Macaca mulatta: one gene and its partners. The protein of the gene in region 1 purifies or fractionates together with the protein of each later gene. This does not show direct contact. Links are inferred from orthologs where the notes say so. Each region holds a gene or a part of one and is shown in the gene's direction. Other genes may lie near its edges. The genes, in order: BCL7C, SMARCB1, SMARCD2, DPF2, SMARCD3 and SMARCA2.

Region 1 (4,292 bases):
TAAATAGTTATTGGGCATTTACCATGTGCTGGGAACTGTTCTAAGAGCTATACACACATTAACTAATTCCTATGTTATAGATGCGGAATAGAGAGAAGTGACTTGTTCAGGGTAATACAGTTGGGTGTGGCGCAGCTGGGATTTTACCTAAGCAGCTTGGCTCAAAAAATGCTGTCCTAATCATGCTCCTAACCCCTTATACCCTTAACCTCGGGACATGGTCACGCCCAAACTCACAGACACAACAGGCACATCTTGAAACACACACACACACACAGCAGCACAAATTTTGACATGGTCTTATCTGCTGACAAGCCAGCCTCAAATAAAGTCAACCAAGACACACTCACTTTCTTTAAGTAATGCACATTTTATTTAAGTCATGTGATGGATTTTCACAGAGTACATATGCCCAGGGAACCAGCACCGGATCACACAACAGAACTGGATCAGCTCCCAGAAGCTCTCCCCTCATCCCCTCCCAATCCTAAGGGCGACCACTATCTTGACTTTGGTGCACTTTAAATTAGTTTTGTCTGGTTCTGAACGTAATACACCTGGAACCATCTAGTATGTACTGTTGTATTTGGCTTCTGTCACTCAAGATTTCGTCATGCGACTTGTCTATGTTGCTGGGTGTAGCCGGGCATGTCACTCCCGTTGCTGTGTCTATGTGCATGGTAATGAGTAGGGCATCATTCATTTTCCATTCTGTTGATGGGTTATTTCCAGTTTGGGGCTGTTATGAAAGGGCTCTGAACGTTCCCAAGCACCCTCTTGGTGCTCACACCTACACATTTCTGCTGGGTGTTGACAGCCTAGGAGTGGAATTGCTGGATCACAGAGGTGGCATATGTTCGGCTTCACTAGAAAACTGCCAGTTCTCAAAACGTCTCTACCAATTTACACTCCCCCAGAAATACAAGAGAGGTTCAGTCGCTCTACTTTCTCGCCTCCACATGGTGCGGTCTTTTTCACTTTAGCCATTCTGGTGGGTAGAGACCTACTCGTATTCGCAGCGCCTGGCGCGTAATTGGCGCTCAGTTAACAGGACTGTTGAATGAATGGATGAATGAGTGTTGGGCGGTGTAGACCGAGAGCCTGGCGAGGGCGGACACACGCACGCACTCCACACACAGCGTTTCGCGGACACCCACCGCGGCGCACGCACCCCAGGACACAGACCCTCTCGAGCACCCCGCGCCCACGTGGTCTGAACGCACCGCCTCGGCCCTGCCTCGCGCGTCCGGCAGCCGAGCAGTACCCAACTCCCGCTCTCGACGGCGGGCAGGGGGCGCTGCGCGTCCAGGCGCTCCGAGGGGGCGGGCCCGGGTCGGGGCGGGGCCGGCCGGGCTTCCAGGCCTGGGCTCTGGCCGCCCGCGCCACCGGGCCGCTCCGGGGACGGGCCGGGGCGGGGCACGGCGGCAGGAAACGGGGCGGGGACTCGCGGAGGCGTTGGGGACGAGAGAGGGCGCGGCCAACTCCCGGGGGGACGGCAGGCCGAGAGCGCGGCGCCCGGGCCTGGCGCCGAGCCTGAGCCCGCCGGACGGGAGGCGGCCCCGCCGCGGGCTCGGCTCCGGCCCCAGCCCCGCCAGCATGGCCGGCCGGACCGTACGGGCCGAGACCCGGAGCCGGGCCAAGGATGACATCAAGAAGGTGATGGCGACCATCGAGAAGGTCCGGAGATGGTGAGCGCTGCCCGGGGGCCAGGGACGGGACACGGCGGGACCACCACCACCTAAGGCGTCTAAGCTGCCCTCGCCAGCTCTGGGCCCCGGTGTTCGCTGTATCCCCGCCCACTAGCTTTGCCCTGGATCTGTCCCCGTTCCCCTGGCTACTCCTGGGGGTCTACAAAGCGTGGTCCCCAGTCGTGCTCTCCCAGAGTGGGAGCCCCCGTTTGTGCCCCGCCCCCTAAAGCTTTGACACTCCTTCTGCAAGTGCGCCCCGAGATCTGCAGGTCTCTGATCCCGGGCCAGGCCCATAGCCACGCCCCCCGTGTGTGCCCCAGGGGTCCGCAGAGCCAGGGCCCAAATCATATCCTCTGTCTAGAGGCACCCACCGCCTGTGCCCTGGGGTTTGCAGGGCTCTCTTTCTCCATGTAACTATGCCCCATTAGCAAAACTGTTGCTACCCTCCTGTGCCTCCCCAACCTCTGCAGGTACCCCCAGATGTGTCCGGCTCCTGGGGGGGTGGGTCTCCCCTCAGGCCTCTCTGACCCAGTCCCCCACCCTCCCACAGGGAGAAGCGATGGGTGACTGTGGGCGACACTTCCCTTCGTATCTTCAAGTGGGTGCCAGTGGTGGACCCCCAGGAGGAGGTGAGCAACCCCCATTCCCACAAGGCCCTGCATCTGTGCAACCTCAGGCAAGCTCCTCCCCACCCTGACCTCTACCTCCAGCTCCCAGAGACCTCAGATGCAGCAGGACAGACAGATGGGAACCATCATTAGCAGCTCCTCCCCTTTTTCCCTCTTTTCTGTTCCACACCCTGAGTTCGAGCCCTTTTGCTTCTCAGTGCCTCAGTTTCCTTAGGTGTATGGTGGGGCTTTCCAAGAGCTCTGACCCTAATCCTCTAACCCCCAGGAGCGAAGGCGGGCAGGTGGCGGGGCAGAGAGATCCCGTGGCCGGGAACGTCGGGGCAGGGGCGCCAGTCCCCGAGGGGGTGGCCCTCTCATCCTGCTGGATCTCAATGGTAGGTAGGGATCCTGAAATGCGGAGGGCTGTGGGGACTGAAGGAGTGTATTAGGGATCTCAGGCCAACCATCTCGGCTCTTGCTCCCACAGATGAGAACAGCAACCAGAGTTTCCATTCGGAAGGTTCCCTGCAAAAGGGCACAGAGCCCAGTCCTGGGGGCACCCCCCAGCCCAGCCGCCCTGTGTCACCTGCCGGACCCCCAGAAGGGGTCCCTGAGGAGGCTCAGCCCCCACGGCTGGGCCAAGAGAGAGGTAGGACCAGGTACCTCCCAGGAGCCCTCTCCTCTAAGTCCTGTCTTCTCCAGAGTCTAACCTACCAGCTTATCCCTATACCTGCTCCCCATCTTGTGCACCTTCCTCAAGGTGCCTTCCGACTCCTGCAGAATGTCTCTGTAGTTGCTGTCTCATTCCTCTGGTCTCTTAGGATCTATAGATGACATATCACTGTCTGAGACTTTCATGTAAATTAATTTTTTACTATCTTTCTCCTCACTCTCATGTCAGTTTCCTGAATGTTGGGCCCATATTAATCCTTTTTTTTTTTTTTTTTTTTTTTTTGAGACAGGGTCTCACTGTGTCACCTAGGCTGGAGTGGTGCAGTGGTGTGATCATAGCTCACTGCAGCCTTGAACTTCCTGGGCTCAAGCGATCCTCCCGCCTCAGCCTCCCAAGTAGCTTGGACCACAGGCATATGCCATTTGTATTTTTTGTAGAGGCAAGGTTTCACCATGTTGCCCAGGCTGGTCTCAAACTCACTCACTCAAGCGATCCTCCATCTTCAGCCTCCCAAAGTGCTGGGATTACAGGTGTGAGCCATCACACCCATACCCGCCCCCCCCTTTATTTTTTTAGAGAGAAGTTCTCTGTCACCCAGGCTGGAGTGCACTGGTGCAATCATAGCTCACTGCAGCCTCAAACTCCTGGGCTCAAGGGATCCTCTGGCCCCAGCCTCCCAAGTAGCTGGGGACTACAGGTGTGTGCCACCACACCCAGCTAACTTTTAAATTTTTTGTAGAGTTAGGGTCTCGCTATGTTGCCAAGGTTGGTTTCGAACTCCTGGCCTGAAATGATCCTTCTGTCTCAGCCTCCCACGGTGCTGGGATTATAGGCGTAAGTCACTGTGCTTGGCCCTATGTGATCTTGTTCACTACTGTATTCTCAGAATAATATGGGACACAGAGTAGGTGCTCAGTAAATATCTGTTGAGTGAATAAATAATAGTGATAGTCATAGGGGTGATTAATAATAACAGGAATAACAACAGTATTTATTGAGCTCTTACTGTGTGCCAGGCGCCCTGGTAAACACTTTACATGGTTGGGTTTTTTTCTTTTCTTTTCTTTTTTTCCTTTGAGTTTCACTCTTGCCCAGGCTAGAGTGCAATGGCACAATTTTGGCTCACTGCAACCTTCACCTCCCAGGTTCAGGCAGTTCTCCTGCCTCAGCCTCCTGGGTAGCTGGGAATATAGGCATGAACCACCATGCTCGGCTAGTTTTATATTTTTAATAGAGATGGGGTTTCGCCATGTTTTGCCAGCCTCGAACTCCTGACTTCAGGTGGTCCGCCCACCTCGGCCTCCCAAAGTGCTGGGACTACAG
Region 2 (3,500 bases), on another chromosome or scaffold:
CCTGGACTGCCCCTCAGTCTCTCCTCCCTGCTGCTGCCTGTGCCCCTCCCCACAGTGAACCCTGACTTGGTGTCTAAGGCTCTGCTCTATTGTCCACCCCTTGTACAAGCCTCCCCCTTGTACCACTTCCCGCATCTCCAGGAAGTGCTTCTGTGGAGCCATGCCTGGCTCATAGTGCAGTACACCATGGCCGTGGGTTAGCAACTGACCTGCGTGCTGGGCTGTGTCTGGTGCCCCTCCATACCCTTGCCCTTGCTCAGGTGCCTCTAGCATCTGATGACAGCCTGGGGAGCAGGCTTCTGCAAAATCAGGTGCACAGACAACTCCCACGGGAGCCTCGAGCCTGACAGAGGTACAGTGGGCATCCCCTGAGCATGAGTTGATTCCTGGTGGGCAGGATCAGGCTCCTAGACTGACTGGGGGGACTTTTCTTGTATCTCCCCAGGGAACAGAAGGCCAAGAGGAACAGCCAGTGGGTACCCACCCTGCCCAACAGCTCCCACCACCTGGATGCCGTGCCATGCTCCACGACCATCAACAGGAACCGCATGGGCCGGGACAAGAAGAGAACCTTCCCCCTTTGGTGCGGATGTGTCGCTGCGCTCACCCTCTGCCCTGATTCTCCCTTAGTTCTCCAGCACATTTCAGTCCCCTCCTCCCCAGAAAAACACTGCTTTGACCTTGTGCTCCCCACAATGCTACAGTACCTCCTTCTCTTTGAACCACTGTGTTTCCCTGACCTCCAGGACATTGTCTGTAGCCTCTTTGGCTCTGTCTGCTGTCACCTTGCCGTGTCCTCCTCACCTCTCTGGCCCCTCAAGTGGAGTTACTCGGGGCGCGGTCCTTGTGCCCTTTCTCTGCCCTCAGTTTCACACGAGTGGGTCATAGCCAGTCTGACGGTTCACATGCCATCCACGTGATTCCCACCGCGCCACCACTTCCCAGAGGCTGCTGGAATAAACCACCACAAACTGGTGGCTGCCAGCAGTGCACAGTTCTTCCCTCACAGTTCGGGGGCCCAGGAGCCCAGATTTGGTTTCACTAGACCAGATGCATGTGTAGACAGGGCCGTGCTCCCTCCAGAGGCCCTCGGGGCGATTCGGTCCTTGCTGCTTCCGGCTTTGGGGGCTGCCACATTCCTGGGCCTGTGGCTGCCTCACTTCAGTCTCGGCCTCTGTGGTCACGTGGCCTTCTCTGCGTGAAATCTCCCTGTCTCTCTCTTAGAAGGACACTTGGTGATGTAATTTAGGGCCCTTCTGGTTAACCTCTCAGGATGTTTCACTTAATCGCATCTGCAAAGTTTCCTTTTTTGGCCATATGAGGTGACAGTTATAGGTTTTGGGGATTAGGCTGTAGATGTCTTCGGGGTCTGTTTTTTACCTCTGCAGCCCAGACTTCCTCAGCTGCCCTCACCCCCTCAGCCTCATGCTGCCTGAAGACTTCTCCATCTCGGCGCATGGAGATCCAGCCGTCTCCTTGCTCAGGCTGTAGCTTTCTTTCCCAAGGCCTGCCTTTTCCTCACACAGCAAGTCCAGTCTCTCCAAGGTCCCACCCGGGACTGCCTTGGCCAGCCCCCCACTGCTCTCCCTGGGGTCTCTAGCAGCCCCTGCCTCCCCTCCCTGTTGCCTTCTCAGCTCTGCAGCTGGTGTGTCCTCTGCTCCAGGCATATCGTGTCACCTCTCCACGCACAATCCTCCAGGCTCCCCATCACCCTCGGAGCAGAAGGAGGAGTTCTCACTGGGGTGCCAGGCCCAACCTGGCCTGGTGCTGCCACTGCCACACTCTGCCCCACTCACTCTGCCTCAGACCTGAGATCGCCCTCACTGCTGTCAGACCTCCCAGAGCTTCTGCCCAGCAGTTGCCTCTGCTAAGGTTTAGCCCGTTCTCCTTCCTCCCCTCTTTCCTTTCTTCTTTCTTTCCTTCCATCATTTCTCCTTCCCTCCTTCCCATCCTTCCCCCTCCTCCTTTTCCTTCTCTCTTCCTTCCCTCCATCTCCTCTTCCCATCCCTAGTTGACTGTCCCCTTCTCCCTTAGAGTGGCCACCCCTTTCCTCCAGCACCCCTACCCCTTTCCCTGTCTGTTTCCCAGCGCATTCATGCCTGGCACTCAGCTCGTTTCTCTCTCTCTTCCATCTGCCTCCCAAGATCGCGGGGGCCCTTCTCAGCCCTCTCCATGCTCCCAGACGCCCTTAGGTGTCCTCTGTCCTCCAGCTCCATCTCACCAACCTGCCTGCCCAACTCTTCCCTCTTTATCTTCCCAAAATACTCAACTCCATTGCTTGGAATCCTCCTGGGACTCCCTCAGGGCAGTGGCCAGTTTGTGTAGCCTGAGAGGAGAACTGTGGGTGCTTCGACACCCGCTAGCTTTGCAGCATCCCTGACCACTGCCCCCCATGGAATCTGTGCTCTGTGGTCTGTTTGTGCGTCCTCAGCAGTTCCTCCATTCACCTGCTTTGGCCTTACTGGAATATATCCTCTTCTAGAAATGCTATTCTGCTTGCCTACAGCCTTCTGTGAAAGTCCTGCCAAATTTCAGGCTTAAATATCCCTTCACAGGACATCTGGGTTTTGTTCCAGCACTGCCCGGGTCGATCCTATTGCAGACAGACTGGTGCTTGTCATTTATGGACCCACCTGTCCCCATTAGACCATGGCCCTGGGACCCCTGCTGCCTCAGCTGTTAGCTGATAAGTGACCATGTTCCCCAGATGGGTTTGCAGAGGCCTGCTGTGCAGAGAGGGAGGCTGAAAATTTGCATGCCTAGGGCCCTGGCACCCTCACTGACTGTTGCTTCCATTTCACTTTCAGCTTTGATGACCACGACCCAGCTGTGATCCACGAGAATGCATCTCAGCCCGAGGTGCTGGTCCCCATCCGGCTGGACATGGAGATCGATGGGCAGAAACTGCGAGACGCCTTCACCTGGAACATGAATGGTACAAGGCAGTCGGGCTTGGCTGGGCCTGGCCCCAGCCCCTGTGTGTTACGTGGGAACAGTCCCCTTTCCTACCAGCTGCCTGTCAGGCAGATTCTGGACCTGACATGCGGGACATCGGGGCATAGTTTTGGAGGGTGTGGGCTCTGGGTTCAGCCCTGGTTCTGTTGCTGTTCACTGTGGGTTGGGCATGTGAACTTCGGACTCCTTTCCCCATACTGAGGTTGGGGGGCCCAAGGGGCCTGGCATGGGAGGTGGCTGGTGTGCATAGCATGGATGATGATGACAATGCCACTTAGACCTAGTTCAGCCCCCGAGCCCTGCACACACCTGCCTTGGGTCCTGTCCACCACCCTGTTTCTGCTGTGTGAGGCTGCATGTGTGCCCCGTGCCTCTCTCCTCCCCTAACTGGTCATCTCTTTAGATATCCTCACTCTGTAAGTCCTGGGTCAGGTGCCATCTCTTCTGGCTCTTCCTGGGCTTCCAAAGCCTGAACAGAACTCAGTCTTTGTGCAGATGTAGACAGAAAGGTTAGAAGGGTATGCATCCCAAGTGTCTAGACTGCT
Region 3 (4,029 bases), on another chromosome or scaffold:
AGCGTTGGAAAACTATAAAAAATATCTGGGGTGCTATGATGCAAGAAAGGAAGCATTACTTGGTGGGGGCTGAAAAATAAACCAATTATAGTAAAGAAAAAAAAAAAAAAGTCTAGATCCTGGCTTCTTGACAGTATGGTCTAAGAAGCAACAGCATCGCTGGCAGCTTGTTAGAAATGTAGAGTCCTGGGCCCTGCCACAATCTGCATTTTTAATAAGAGCCTCGGGTGTTTTTTATGTGCTCATTAGGGTTTAAGCAGCACTGGGCCGTATCACGGTGAGGAGACCCAGACCATCAAAGGGACAGCTGAAGCATTTTTGAATACTTTGATACAGCACAGTGTATCTGAAAAGATACTGCATTTTTGAAAATTAAGTGCTATAAATACTAGAGAAAGACCTCTTTTTAAACTGCGGGGAGGTTTCTCATAAGCCAAATTTCTTTTGACTAGAAGCATTTGCTGGGGAGTAAAGTACCAGGCTTCCTTATAGTGAGGCAGAGCCACGTTAAAAATGTGCTGTAAGAGCTCAGCCTTGGCCAAGTCGACCATTCACCAGCTGGGTCAAGTCTGGAGCCTCCTAGGTCCCTTGGCAGTTCCGAGCTACCAGGATGAGCTTTTACAGGAAGTTGAGTTGGCTGCTGTTCTGCCCCAGAGAGCAGCTGAGTCTTTTTTCTTTTTTTGAGGAGTTTCACTCTTGCCGCCCAGGTTGGAGTGGAGTGGAGAGATCTCGGCTCATTGCAACCTCTGTCTCCCGGGTTCAAGCGATTCTCCTGCCTCAGCCTCCCGAGTAGCTGGGATTACAGGCGCCAGCCACCACTCTCGGCTAATTTTTGTATTTTTAGTAGAGACGGGGTTTTCACCATGTTGGCCAGGCTGGTCTCGAACTTCTGACCTCAGGTGGTCCACCCGCCTCAACCTCCCAAAGTGCTGGGATTACAGGCGTGAGCCACCGCTACCGACTCTGAGTTGGGTCTTTAATGTGGAAGATGCAGAAAGGAGACTTGACAAAACTATTTTCGGTGAGGCTGCTACACCGGGAAAGAGTAGTAGCAACTGCTCATTCACTGTGAAGCCTCAACGTGACCTTAGACCTCTGACCCCGCGCCTCACTCGGCGCTTCCGCGCGCAGCTTCCGCTCCCGCCCCTCCGATGAAGGGCGGGGCCAAAGGTGGGGGGTGGGACTCTGAGGTCGGCGGTTAGGGGCGGTGCCTGCTGGGGGCGGGTCTCGCGAGGGGCGGGATTCAAGGAGGCACTCGAGCATTGGGCACCAGGTAGAGGCGGGGCCTAGTGCTGGGCTGGGTTGGGCGGGGCAGGGAGTTCGTAGCCGCCTCTGGGTAACTCGACTCGGGCGGCCAAACCTCCGGAGTCCGGGGGCGGCAGGCGGGCCCACAGCAGATCCTGGATCCGGAATCTCCGGCGCAGGAGCGGAATCTGTCCCGAACCGGGTCTGTGAGGAACTCGCGAACTTGGATTAGGAAATCCCGGAGCCCGGATCGACAAATCCCGGAACCCGGAATTAAGATCGCCAAGTCCCGGATCGCGGAGTACAGAGCGCGGAGTGGACTCGACGCGTAGCCCGGAGTCCGGATCGCGGCACCGCGGGACGGGACGGAGCGATGTCGGGCCGAGGCGCGGGCGGGTTCCCGCTGCCCCCGCTAAGCCCTGGCGGCGGCGCCGTGGCCGCGGCCCTGGGAGCGCCTCCTCCCCCCGCCGGACCCGGCATGCTGCCCGGACCGGCGCTCCGGGGACCGGGTCCGGCTGGAGGCGTGGGGGGCCCCGGGGCCGCCGCCTTCCGCCCCATGGGCCCCGCGGGCCCCGCGGCGCAGTACCAGGTGAGTAGGGAGGACGCGAGCGGACGGGGGCGTGCGGCGCCGCGAGGGCGCCCGGGCCGGGGGCTGAGGGGGCCTCGAGTGAGGGCCTTGGGGAATGCATGAGGAACTTTGGGAGACGGTGGAGGGCGGGCCAGATCCCTCGGGCTGCGGCGGGTGGCGGTGGAGGAGTGGGGAAGGGGGAGCGAGTCCTGCAGCGGAGGGCTGGAACCAGCTGGGAGGCCTGGGGGCTTCCGCGGCACAGAGATTCCGAGTGACTGGGAGATGGAGGAGTTTGGGGAACCAGTGAATTGTGGGCGGGTGGGTTGAGAAGTCTAGGGTAGGAGGGCTAGAAAGTGATGAGAAAGTTTGGGAAAGGGCCCTCGCTGAGAAACCGGGGTTACCCTGCATCGGCCTTGGTCCCACTCCAAGTCTGCCCTGTTTTTTCTGGTTGCGAACTGGCCGAGCTCTAGCGTGTCTGAGATGGCTCCCGGCTGCTAATGAGGAGGAAGGAGCCTGGCTTCCCACGGGCACGGGACGCTGAGGCTAGGGCCAGGGGATTCATTCCAGCTTGTGCACGGGCGGACTTTACTCCAGAGGCAGGGCCAGGCGCCTTCGCTGGGGAGGACTCCAGCTTAGACCAGAGACGGTGGTGGCCAGGCTTGAGGGGAGGCCCAGCCTAGTCACAGGCCGGCTCTCTTCTGGGCTTTCTGCCTCCTGTCATCGTGTCGGGTAGTTGATTAGTCTGGACGTGCAGAGTGGAACCCTGCTGGTCTGGGGCCCGAGGAGTCTGCGAGAGTTGCTTCAAAGAGTGCTGTCCTGACCCCTTTGGGGTTTTGAGAGCTGCTCAGGTTTCAGCTTCAAAAGCCCTTGGAAGGCAGCGACTTCTGCTCAGTGTGTGAGAACCTCAGCCTGACCCTGCTGGTCCCCTAGTCTGCTGTTCAGGTTGCACCAGCAGGCTTGGAAACTGTGCCCATCTGCCTTATCATCCTCTCTGCATTTTTATTTGGCCTTCAGGTTCTAACTCCGCCACATCCGAAGCCATATGCCCCAGCATTTGACACTGGCTTCTCCCAGGGTCTGCTGTGGGCTTCCTCTGTTTTCGACTCCTGTCTCCAGGCGGAGGTCCTTAGGGATCCTCGTGGAGTATACACAGCCTACCTGCCCCACTGGGCCTCACATCTAAGGAGATGGCTTAACTAGGGACAGTGACTGGATTTTTTTCCCTTCTTCCTCCTCATTCTTCCTCCTTTCTCAAGAGAAAACAGAGTCTGGATATGGGCAGAGACAGACCTGGTCCCAGGGACTCCAGCTGGGGCTCATCTTTCCCACCCTACTCTCCCCCTTGGGGATTCATGGGCCCAGGGTGTTGCTGAGGGCTCCCTGCATCAGTCATTGTAGCCCTTGGGCCTGCCCACTGAGACCTGGCCTGGGCACCATCTGTGGGCCTTTGGCCTTGGAAGGACCTGGAACAGACAAGCCGCTCCAGTTTCCTTGGCATGCAAAAAGTCATAGGAAATGTGCCCTTGAGACAGCCCCTAAGAGAATGGATTCCACATGTTTGGTGGGGGGTGGCCTTGGGCTTGTGGCAAGGCCAAGCTGGCTGGCTGGTTAGGCCTGGGCTGCTAGCTGTGGGGAAGTAGGAGATGGCCCTGAGTCTGGGTTTCCCATCCCACTAGCTTTCCTCCTCCTGGCAGGAGAGGTAGATGGTACAGAGAACCCAGCCAGCTAACTTTGGCTGAGTTTGAAGAGGATCCTACTTGCTCTCTTTCCAAGTCCAGTTGTATGACTTCCAGGGGGGACTTGAGATCTGGGAAACAGAGGGGTTCCTGTCTGTTAGGGCTCATGAGATGTGCTGGAAAAGCGAGAATTTGAGGCCCAAGCTGAACAAATAGTTGAAAGAAGGGAAGTGATGACCTCCCTTCCTCCAGAGGGTGGTTCTGGCTGTGGATCACAGTTAACAGAGGAACCTAAAACAAAAACAACAACAAAAAACCCTCCAGGGCAGGATGTGGTGGCTCACACCTATAATCCTAGCACTTTGGGAGGCCCAGACAGAAGGATTACTTGAGATCAGGAGTTCAAGACCAGCCTAGGCAACATAGTGAGACCATAATTTCTCAAAAAAAAAAACCCAAAAAAATTTAGCCAAACTTGGTGGTGTGCGCTTATGGTCCCAGCTAGTCGGGATGCTGTGGCAGGAGGATTGCCTGAGTCCA
Region 4 (2,984 bases), on another chromosome or scaffold:
ATCTCTGGAATGGCATGGGGGTAGGAGCAGTGGAACTTCTGCTGTGCTCTACTCCTCAAAGTCCTGGAGGCTGCCTTTACCACTGCTTGTCTCCCACAAACCTACTCCTAGAGCTGCTCAGCCCAGTGCATGGGGTGGCTTCAGAAGCATTATCAGGAGCCCATTACAATCAGACCCTTCCGCTCCCTCCCCAGATCAGGCACCTGGTGGTCAGCTCATGTTCCCCACTGCCCCACCACCTCCTGCCATCCTCTCTCCCCATTCCTTTCCTGCTGGCCCCCTTGCCCTTCTTGGTATTACCTGTCAAGATGACAGAATGCCTCGTGGGGATCTGCTTTCCTTGCTGATTGGCAGGCCTGGACAGGGCAATTATGTGGGAGTGTGTTTGAATTTCTCTGGGGACAACTGCCCAACTGGCTTCATTGATAGGATATCCCCAAGAAACCCACCCCTGCTTGTTTACGCACATTCAGAGGAGATGGGCTCCATGGTCTCTGTGGGGTAGCTGAGCCTCCCACGTTTACTGATGGGTAAAAACGTTTGGAGTTTTATCCGCTTTTCCCCCTTCTTGCCACACCAAAGACTTATAGGAATATCCTTCCCTTTCCTGACCTGGAGCGTCCCAGACTGTTACTATATCCCAGAGCAACTAACTAGTGATGGGGCGAGGGCTAAGCCCCCAAAAGTCAACATGGAAGAGCAGTGGTGGCCATGGGGTTGGAGTTTAGGAGGTAAAAGAGTCCCAGAGGCTAGAGAGCCCCAGGGCTTGATGCTCGTGGCTGAGGGAAAGGGGCCATCACTTAAGGCCTGTCCCAGAGTAGAGCTGCTAGGGGAAGGGATGGTTGCCCTCTGCCTCAGGTGGAGCCCCCACAGTTTGCAGGGGTGGGGACATGTTACTCTTGTATCCTAACACCTTTCTCTGCAATCTTCTCCCCACTCAGTTTGTGGAAAACGTTACAAGAACCGACCAGGCCTCAGTTACCACTATGCCCACTCCCACTTGGCTGAGGAGGAGGGCGAGGACAAGGAAGACTCCCAGCCACCCACTCCTGTTTCCCAGAGGTCTGAGGAGCAGAAATGTAAGCTGAGGTGTCAGAAGTGGTGGGCAAGCAGAAGTTGGCCTGGTTATGAAAACCACTCCTTGCATGGGTGTTGAGTGGCTCAGGGACCCCATGGGCGTCATCAAAAGTCTTTCTCTCTGCAGCCAAAAAGGGTCCTGATGGATTGGCCTTGCCCAACAACTACTGTGACTTCTGCCTGGGGGACTCAAAGATTAACAAGAAGACGGGACAACCCGAGGAGCTGGTGTCCTGTTCTGACTGTGGCCGCTCAGGTACTGCCTCCCGTGAAGGCTGCTGCTGTGCCCAGTCCCCAAGGGGCTCTTGGCTTGCTGGCCTCTAGTGCTGTCATAACCAGCCCACCTCACTTTACCTAACCAAGAGAAGATGTAGCCACAAGCAGGAGCTCCTCTCTTCCCCCTGCATTTCCAACTGTCTGTCTCACTCACTTCCCCCACTATAGGGCATCCATCTTGCCTCCAGTTTACCCCCGTGATGATGGCGGCAGTGAAGACGTACCGCTGGCAGTGCATCGAGTGCAAATGTTGCAACATCTGCGGCACCTCTGAGAATGACGTGTGTATCCCCGCCCCCTCCTCAGCATGGCTCCTTCTGGGCTTTTACTGCTGTTTGCACAGTTCCCTCTAAAGTGAGCTTTCTTTTTTTAAAAAGGGAGCAAGATCCCTCCTACATGCCACATGCCCCTCCCTAGCATCTCAGTCAGAACTCTGATTTGTTGCCAGATAATATATATATTGAGTGCTGATTTTATGTCAGACACTGTTCTAGGCACTAAAGATACTAAAGACAAACAAGGTCCCTGCCGCATGAGATTTACATTCTTACAGGAACAACAATAAGCAAGGATGTGAGATTTGTATAATGTGCCATGAAAAAAATGAAACCAGTAATGTGGCAGAGAATAATTGCATAAGTGATTTATTTTGATGGTGAGGTTTGGCTCTTCTGGGAGGGGGATGCTGGTGTTGAAATTTTGTGATACCAAGGAGCCAGTCAAGCAGATTTGGAGGTAGAGCAGTCCCAGGAAAGGAGCAGCCAGTGCCAAGGCCTTATAGTGGACAAGCCAAATGATAGGGCATGGGAGAGGATGGCGGGGGATGAGATGAGAGAGGCAAGCACTGCCAGATCTGTGGGGCCTTGGATTTTATTCTAGGTACAATAGGACACTGTCAAAGGGTTTTAATCAGGGAAGTGACATGGTTATTTATGTATGTATTTATTTATTTTATTTATTTATTTTTTTGAGACGGAGTCTTGCTGTGTCGCCCAGGCTGGAGTACAGTGGCACGATCTCGGCTCACTGCAACCTCTGCCTTCCAGGTTCAAGCGATTCTCCTGCCTCAGCCTCCCAAGTAGCTGGGATTACAGACACGTGCCACCACATCTGACTAATTTTGTATTTTTAGTAGAGATGGGGTTTCTCCATGTTGGCCAGGCTGGTATTGAACTCCTGACGTCCGGTGATCCGCCTGCCTCAGCCTCCCAAAGTCCTGGGATTATAGGTGTGAACCACCGCACCCGGCTGTTTATTTATTCTTTATGTATTTATTTTTTTATTTTGAGACAGAGTCTCTCTGTCACCCAGGCTGGAGTGCAGCGATGCAATCTTAGCTCACTACCACCTCTCCCTTTAGGCTCAAGCAATCCAATCCTTCCACCTCAGCCTCCCAGGTAGCTGGGACCATAGATGCACACCACCATGCCTGGCTTCTTTTTTTTATATTTTTGATAGAGACAGGGTCTTGCCATATTGCTGAGCTGGTCTCAAACTCCTGAGCTCAAGCAATCCTCCCACCTTGGCCTCTCAAAGTGCTGGGATTACAGGCGTGAACCCACCATGTTTGGCATTGTCTTATATTTTATTTTATATTTATTTATTTATTTCAAGATGGAGTTTTACTGTTG
Region 5 (3,500 bases), on another chromosome or scaffold:
GCCCCACCAGGGGGCGCCCATGGGCCCCCCGGGCTCCCCCTACATGGGCAGCCCCGCCGTGCGACCCGGCCTGGCCCCCGCGGGCATGGAGCCCGCCCGTAAGCGAGCAGCGCCCCCGCCCGGGCAGAGCCAGGCACAGAGCCAGGGCCAGCCGGTGCCCACCGCCCCCGCGCGGAGCCGCAGGTGAGTGGGAGGCCCGGCGCGGAGGGGGCGTGCAGGGGCGGGCCCTGGGGACCCGCAGGGACCAGGTGAGAGAGTAGCGGGGATTGGAAGAGGTGAGGAAGAATGATTAGCAGGGAGCGAGGCTTCCCGGATCGGATGCCCTCTGGGGAGGTGGGCTTAGGGGGCACCGGCCTGATTCTTTTGTGTGCCCACGGTAGAGACAGGCTGTGGCCGTCGGCAGCCGGTACCGCTTCCCTGCACGTTCCCCTCACCCTTCTCCTTGTCACCTGCTCAGTCCCTCTCTCCACCCATCAGGTTCTGGGTGATGCTTCAGTCTTTGGGTTGGGGGCGGGGCTTCCAGTGGGACTGAGGGCAGAGCTGTAGGACTGTGTTGCCCAAAGTGTAGTTCTCCGCTGAGCCTTCCTGCCAGACCCCGGACTGTTTCAAAGCCACTCCAGATTTTCTCAATGGGACTCTCTGGCCCTGGGGGTGGAGCTTGGGGATTTGCCCTGTGGTAGGTGGTCTCTGCCCAGTTCCGCTCTTAATTCTTAGGCACTCTGGACCAGGTCTGCTCCCAAGCCACCAGGGCCAGCCCATTGCCTTATTTTCCTCCAGCAGCTGGTGGCACCCTTAAAGCCCCTGCTGGCTCCTGGCAACAGCAGTGCCCCTCTGGATTTCAGTATTTAGCCAAATACACATGCTTTTTTTGCACAACAGATGGATTTCTATAAAAGGTGTAATATCAATTTTACCTCATTATTAAGTATTTTTTACACATCAGGTAAAATTCACCACTTATAGGAATCCCATGATGAATTATTTTGTAAAGTGCATCGTCATTTTGTACAGCAAACGGTAATTCCCTGATTTATCTTGTATAAATGGAGAGTTACACAAAGATAATCTGTCTAAAACAAACCAGACCTTTAATGAAATCTGCTTGTTAGCCTTAGATTTCTGCATAGGGAGGGGGTAGTGGTTGAGAACACCACACGGGGGCAGTATGGAGCTATTCTCTAGGCTGCGTTTTCATCTCTTGACCCGCCAAGGTTTTTCTGGGGGTTTTTGGGTTAGTCAGCAGCAGCTAGTGGGTCAGAAAGAGCTCACATCCAGCTGCTACTACCCTGGGCCTAGTCAGTTTGGCCTCAGCCTGAAGTCACACCCATGCACATTCTGGGCGCCTATGGCTGCAGCATGTCCCTCACCTTGTTGCCAGGTAGTCCCAGGGCATGAGTACCCCTGCTCATCAGCATTCTCTTGCAAGCCCAGGGTGCCTGGAAGGGATGCAAGTCCCGCCAGCTTCACACCATCACCTCCCGCTCCATGGATAGGAAGGAAGTCGTCTATCTCCCTCCCTCTGAGCTTAGAATCCTTTGGACAGGGCACCCCCTGCTTTCCAGAAAAGGTCCTCAGACCTGGCTTCCCTCTCCTTTGTCCTCCCTCATCCCCACCTTTCCTCAAACACTTCTGCAGCTCCCATCTTTTGGCAGCACCACCCCCACTCGCCAGTCCCTCCTAAGTCTAAATTTCTCTGTCCCTAAGGATGTGGCAGGTTAGAAGGGGGCTCCCAGGCCAGAGAATGGACGGGTCACCCCTGTGTCCTTAGAGAGGACAGAGCACCAGTTCCACACACCACCGTCATAGCCCTTGGGCGGGCAGACAAGCGGGCTGTGGGAACCCCAGCCAGGCGGGCGGAGATGTCGGGATAATTTAGCAGGTGGCCTCGTTACTCCCAGATCTGTCGCCATGGTAACCTGGTTTTTTCTTTAAAAAATGTACAGTGCCAAGAGGAGGAAGATGGCTGACAAAATCCTCCCTCAAAGGGTGAGTGTCTTTCACAGCAGCCCCCAGCCCACCCCCTACCCTTTGCTGCTCTGCCCTCCCCTCCCCCCTCAAAAGCAGAGCTTCAGTGTCACAGTCACTTTCACTTTTTGTTTAAAAAAACTCATTAGTAAGTGAGGCTCCCTAGGCCAGAGGGAGGGGGTGAGGTGGAGGGAAGCAGCAGAGCCACTGGGGCCAGAACACAGGGGCCTGTCAGGGGGCTGGATCCAAGTGGTACTAAGACAGAGTTGTGGGACAAGAAGGGGGCAAGAGCTAGGGGATCAAAAGCTGCCAGGCAGAATGAAGGGGATAGAAGGTGGCCAGAGATCCTGAGCATCCTAAAGGGACCCAGGTCCAGCTGGATATGGGGGACAGCACAGTTGGGACAGGTGTGGGGGCTGAGCAATGTGCCAGCAAAGAAGAAAGCACTGCTGTCCAACTGTCCCAGGGATTGAGCCCCTACTAGGCACTTTGCAGGGGCCCAGGGGAAGCCCAGTGGGCATATGACATAGAAAATGACAGGATGAGGAGACTAAAGGCTAGTGCTTTGCTGGGTTCCACAGTTGCTACCTCCTCCCCGTGATGATACACAAGGCTCTTCCTAAAGGGAGAAGCAATTGTTATCCCTACACAGCAAGGCCCCTACTGCTGGATAATGGCATCCTGGGGAGAGGTCCTGTTCCCACTGTCAAAGCTCCATGCCCAGAAGTAGGATGGCTCCCCCGACATCTTTTGCACCCTAGGATTGCACAACATGCATACATTCCATGGTACAACCCTGGACTCGAGCCTCTGACTCCTGCCCTGCTCCTCCTCCTCCAGATTCGGGAGCTGGTCCCCGAGTCCCAGGCTTACATGGACCTCTTGGCATTTGAGAGGAAACTGGATCAAACCATCATGCGGAAGCGGGTGGACATCCAGGAGGCTCTGAAGAGGCCCATGAAGGTGCCTTAGTTCGGGGGTAGGAAGGGGACTCTTGAGTCGCGTGACCAGGATGGGGAAGCAAGGTAGTCAGGGTGGAAGCACACAGCATTTGCCAGGTTCTACACTCTATTTCTACAGCAAAAGCGGAAGCTGCGTCTCTATATCTCCAACACTTTTAACCCTGCGAAGCCTGACGCTGAGGACTCCGATGGCAGCATTGCCTCCTGGGAGCTACGGGTGGAGGGGAAGCTCCTGGATGATGTACGTCCCGGCCCAGGTCTCTCCAGGTGTCCTGGGGTGGGCACGGGCTGCACTGAGAACAGAACAAAGTGTCTGCACTAAGGGCTAGGGAGTCAGCCCAGGCTGGGGAGGTGGGGGCAGGCCTAGAGACATTCCAGGTGCAGAGGATTTCATCTAAGCCCACTGCCCTGTCTGCTGCCAACTTGGCCTCCTTCTGCTTCTCCCACCCTGTCCCTGTTCTGCCCCCATGGTTCCTGTTCCTCTCCCACAGCCCAGCAAACAGAAGCGGAAGTTCTCTTCTTTCTTCAAGAGTTTGGTCATCGAGCTGGACAAAGATCTTTATGGTCCTGACA
Region 6 (3,500 bases), on another chromosome or scaffold:
TGAAAAATAGTTTTCCTTACCACCATTTTAAAATTTTTAAAAATGATGACATTTTATTTCCCTTCCAAACTAAGCAACTGTAGGTTTTTACAAAAAATCACTCATTTTGATATTTGGCTATATGAAGTATTAGATCTCCTACAGCATTTAGGACCAGGAGGTTTTACTTTTTCATGTTAATGAAAATGATGCCTGTCATCATCAGCATCTTGGCAAGGAAGACAAATGGCCTGGTTGCCTTAGGACAGAACTAGAAGTTAGAAAGAAAAAAAGTCTGTCCTCTCAGCTCTGTAGTCTGGCAACACCATCATGTTTGGAAAACACTGTAATATTCATTTTTTAAGATAATTTCGACTTTTATTTGAGATTCAGGGGATGCATGAATAGGTTTCTTAACATGGGTGTATTGCATAATGCTGAGGTTTGGGGTGCAATGGATCCCATCATTCAGCTAATGAGCATAGTACCTAAAAGTTTTTCAACCCTTGCTGCCCTCCCTCCCTCCCCCGTTTAGTAGTCGCCAGTGTGTATTGTTGCCATCTTTATGTCCATGAATACCCAATGTTTAGCTGCCACTTAAAAGTGAGAACATGCGGTATTTGGTTTTCTGTTCCTGCATTAATTTGCTTAGGATAATGGCCTCCAGCTGCATCCATGTTGCTGCAAAGGACATGATTTGGTTGTTTTTTTTTTTTAATGGCTGTGCATAATTTTAAACAGAATTCTTAATTTTCAACTTTTATAGTTGAGGTCCAGGAAGGTTCTCAGAAAGTATATTTTAATTATCTACCGTTTCATTGCAGTGGTTTTGGTATCAGGCAAATTGAGGTTCCAGTCTTGGCCCCCTTCTTTACTAGCTCTGTGGTATCTCCAGGTGTCTTCAGTTTTCCTCATCAGTAACATGGGACCATTATAACATTTACCTTATAGAGAGAGGCGTGTCTGTGTGTGTAAGAGAGAGACAATTAAATAAAATTATGCATTAAAGGCACTTAGTTCTGTTAATATTAACCTAGTTTAACTTATTACTCATTTTATCATTATTCTTTCTTTGTTGAAATCTAGTTCAGTACAGTTTGCCTCAAATTTAGGGGATGTAGTTCTAAAAACAGGCTTAAATGGCATATAATTATTTGTCAGAATAGGATTCAGGTGAACTCTAAAACCAGCAGTTTATATATCTAACAGTAATAGTATCCCAAGTGAATGGCTAAAGTGAGAGGTCTTTTATTTTCTACTCTGCCTTTATTATGCGGAAGTACATGCAGTTATATTTTTGATGGTGTGTAAAACGAGAATCCTCAACATCCTTTTCTAGAAACTCTTGGTTTTTGAGTACTATTTACTGCTGGCCCTGATTTTTTAAAAACAGCCTCATTTGTATTTTCTTTTCTCAAGCAAGCTCTGCTCACGGAGGAAGTGGCTGTGGCTGGCAGAGCGCTTTCTGAATGTTTAGGGTTGGCTGATTTCTGTGGCATCAGCACCTAAAACCGTTCTTGCTCTCTCCGCTTTAATGGCTGTTCGTCATCGGCATCTTGGCAAAGAAGACAAATGGTCCGGTTGCCTTAGGACAGAACTAGAAGTTAGAAAAAAGTGTGTCCTCTCAGCTCTGCATTCTGTCCGGCTGGGAGTTAGGAAGCGAGTCAATTGTTTCTGTCTCTCATTTCTCTCTCTGCTAAGAGCGAGCAAGGACATTTGACTTCCCCACTAGATACAGGGTGAACCCTCTTTCCCTGGTGTTAGATAGGGGTTATGGAGGAAGCCACATTGTTAAGTTAACATATACCTGTCTGCATTAATACAAAGGTAGCTTTTCTCTGCTTAACATCAAAAATTCTAGTTGGGTGTCAGAAATCAACTATCAGTATCTGGAATATGTTTTGCCCTGAACTTAAACCTGATGTCATTGTTTATCATGTAACATTAAATTGTAATGTGTTTTTCCACTGCCCCCTTTTCCCCGTTTTATTGTTTCCTTCAGACTTCAGGCCCGCATAGCTCATAGGATACAAGAACTGGAAAATCTGCCTGGCTCTTTGCCACCAGATTTACGAACCAAAGCAACCGTGGAACTAAAAGCACTTCGGTTACTCAATTTCCAGCGTCAGGTAATACCTTTTCCCCAGTGAATCTGAGATGTAGGAAATAAATGTAATTGTTCCTAAAGTGTTATCTGTGTTGCCTTTAGTCTATTCGATATTGTTATAAAGATATAAAGAGAGAAACATAGTAAAATAGTGAATCTTTTAGACCAACAGCTTACAACTAAAAATAATGAAGATGAACTGCTTATTATTCTGGTTTTCTCTTCTGTATATGGGAAAGAGTTTTTCCTCCTGTACTATGGTTTACAAAGTCAAGAGTTATGGCATTTTGTTACCATGGATGAAAAACCTTGGGAACAAGTGGGGTAGCTCATGTTTGCCTTTATGACTCCAAGGAAAAACCAGAAGGTAGTAGAGTGGAGCTTCTTCGTAAGCACAGATGTTAAGTGCTAGCCACGACTGTGAAAAGAATTTTAACAAATATGATAGCCACTCTACAGAATTAGTTCATCATTTATAGAAATACATAAAACAGTGTCTTACAGCTTATTTATTCACCAATATCTGAGTTTGGAGTGTTTAATCACATCAGGCTCATACAGTGACTAATCTGTAAATTATCTTGTCATTACAGTAGTTATTAAAAGCCAGTATAATGACCTATTTTCTGATTTCTAAATTAGTAAGAGACTAGTGGAATGAATTAGAGCTACTTTTCACTTTGGTGAGTTTTGCCTTGTGGACTCAGAATGTTCAAGTTTGCTAGTCCACAGATTGCCTCACTAAGCCAAAGGGGAGAAGGAGCCTTTCATTGTTAGTCAGATGGGTTTGTTTTGTTAAAGCCTGGAACATGCAAAATGAATGATTAATGAGTAAAAGTAGTTTGGAAGTATTGACTTGGTCTGTTGGAGGATGCGAGTAAAATCACAGGCCACTCCCCTTGCTATTGTAGGAATTTGGGTGTATATTTGCCTTACTGGCTATAATATCACAGATGGACATTAGTGGTGAGTAGGTGCTACTTGGCCCTTGGTTTGTGAGAGTAGATTTCAGCTTAAATTTTAAAAAGAAGAGGGAAAATTCTCTGAGTTCTGTTTACTTCTTTCTTATTGGTGACCTCACAAGATGAATTAATAAAGTGCTGGATAAAATCTCACTAAATGAATATTAACCAAGTATATTTTCAGGAATAAGTTTATGTTCAAATTAGCATTGCTGTGCTGGATTCTTATTGGTTTCTGATTTTTGTTTGATATTATTTTAAAAATCTGTTATTTATGAAGCTTCCCAATTAAATTAACTGTAACTAATGATGATTTCAGATTCAGTGGAATGATTATTTAATGTGTATTCTCCAGTCCCTACCCCCTACCACCACATAGCATGCAATACAGATAAAAGTATTACATTTGTGATGATCTAAAATAAGTTCATGATATAATACAAAATGTAGCT

The links.
Region 2: the proteins of BCL7C (region 1) and SMARCB1 purify together in Homo sapiens (affinity purification with mass spectrometry; 7 studies listed by BioGRID and IntAct, counting the BioPlex papers as one, with this or other methods). This does not show direct contact. The link is inferred for Macaca mulatta from reciprocal best matches to the Homo sapiens genes BCL7C and SMARCB1.
Region 3: the proteins of BCL7C (region 1) and SMARCD2 purify together in Homo sapiens (affinity purification with mass spectrometry; 3 studies listed by BioGRID and IntAct, counting the BioPlex papers as one, with this or other methods). This does not show direct contact. The link is inferred for Macaca mulatta from reciprocal best matches to the Homo sapiens genes BCL7C and SMARCD2.
Region 4: the proteins of BCL7C (region 1) and DPF2 purify together in Homo sapiens (affinity purification with mass spectrometry; 4 studies listed by BioGRID and IntAct, counting the BioPlex papers as one, with this or other methods). This does not show direct contact. The link is inferred for Macaca mulatta from reciprocal best matches to the Homo sapiens genes BCL7C and DPF2.
Region 5: the proteins of BCL7C (region 1) and SMARCD3 purify together in Homo sapiens (affinity purification with mass spectrometry; 3 studies listed by BioGRID and IntAct, counting the BioPlex papers as one, with this or other methods). This does not show direct contact. The link is inferred for Macaca mulatta from reciprocal best matches to the Homo sapiens genes BCL7C and SMARCD3.
Region 6: the proteins of BCL7C (region 1) and SMARCA2 purify together in Homo sapiens (affinity purification with mass spectrometry; 4 studies listed by BioGRID and IntAct, counting the BioPlex papers as one, with this or other methods). This does not show direct contact. The link is inferred for Macaca mulatta from reciprocal best matches to the Homo sapiens genes BCL7C and SMARCA2.

The regions. Positions count from the first base shown.
Region 1 is NC_133425.1:29,522,544-29,526,835, reverse strand, and holds the start of BCL7C (B-cell CLL/lymphoma 7 protein family member C), read left to right. Parts: upstream 1-1,492; 5' UTR 1,493-1,596; coding exon 1,597-1,688; intron 1,689-2,238; coding exon 2,239-2,317; intron 2,318-2,582; coding exon 2,583-2,691; intron 2,692-2,783; coding exon 2,784-2,945; intron 2,946-3,532; exon of another isoform or gene 3,533-4,129; intron 4,130-4,292. UniProt on the Homo sapiens protein: May play an anti-apoptotic role.
Region 2 is NC_133415.1:27,980,383-27,983,882, forward strand, and holds part of SMARCB1 (SWI/SNF-related matrix-associated actin-dependent regulator of chromatin subfamily B member 1), read left to right. Parts: intron 1-445; coding exon 446-583; coding exon of another isoform or gene 584-637; intron 638-2,807; coding exon 2,808-2,935; intron 2,936-3,500.
Region 3 is NC_133421.1:73,636,762-73,640,790, reverse strand, and holds the start of SMARCD2 (SWI/SNF-related matrix-associated actin-dependent regulator of chromatin subfamily D member 2), read left to right. Parts: upstream 1-1,229; 5' UTR 1,230-1,618; coding exon 1,619-1,912; intron 1,913-4,029. UniProt on the Homo sapiens protein: Involved in transcriptional activation and repression of select genes by chromatin remodeling (alteration of DNA-nucleosome topology).
Region 4 is NC_133419.1:9,052,471-9,055,454, reverse strand, and holds part of DPF2 (zinc finger protein ubi-d4), read left to right. Parts: intron 1-941; coding exon 942-1,079; intron 1,080-1,204; coding exon 1,205-1,333; intron 1,334-1,521; coding exon 1,522-1,634; intron 1,635-2,984. UniProt on the Homo sapiens protein: Plays an active role in transcriptional regulation by binding modified histones H3 and H4. Is a negative regulator of myeloid differentiation of hematopoietic progenitor cells. Might also have a role in the development and maturation of lymphoid cells.
Region 5 is NC_133408.1:190,675,212-190,678,711, reverse strand, and holds part of SMARCD3 (SWI/SNF-related matrix-associated actin-dependent regulator of chromatin subfamily D member 3), read left to right. Parts: coding exon 1-183; intron 184-1,943; coding exon 1,944-1,986; intron 1,987-2,805; coding exon 2,806-2,928; intron 2,929-3,045; coding exon 3,046-3,168; intron 3,169-3,418; coding exon 3,419-3,500. UniProt on the Homo sapiens protein: Involved in transcriptional activation and repression of select genes by chromatin remodeling (alteration of DNA-nucleosome topology).
Region 6 is NC_133420.1:97,412,973-97,416,472, reverse strand, and holds part of SMARCA2 (SWI/SNF-related matrix-associated actin-dependent regulator of chromatin subfamily A member 2), read left to right. Parts: intron 1-1,981; coding exon 1,982-2,108; intron 2,109-3,500. UniProt on the Homo sapiens protein: ATPase involved in transcriptional activation and repression of select genes by chromatin remodeling (alteration of DNA-nucleosome topology).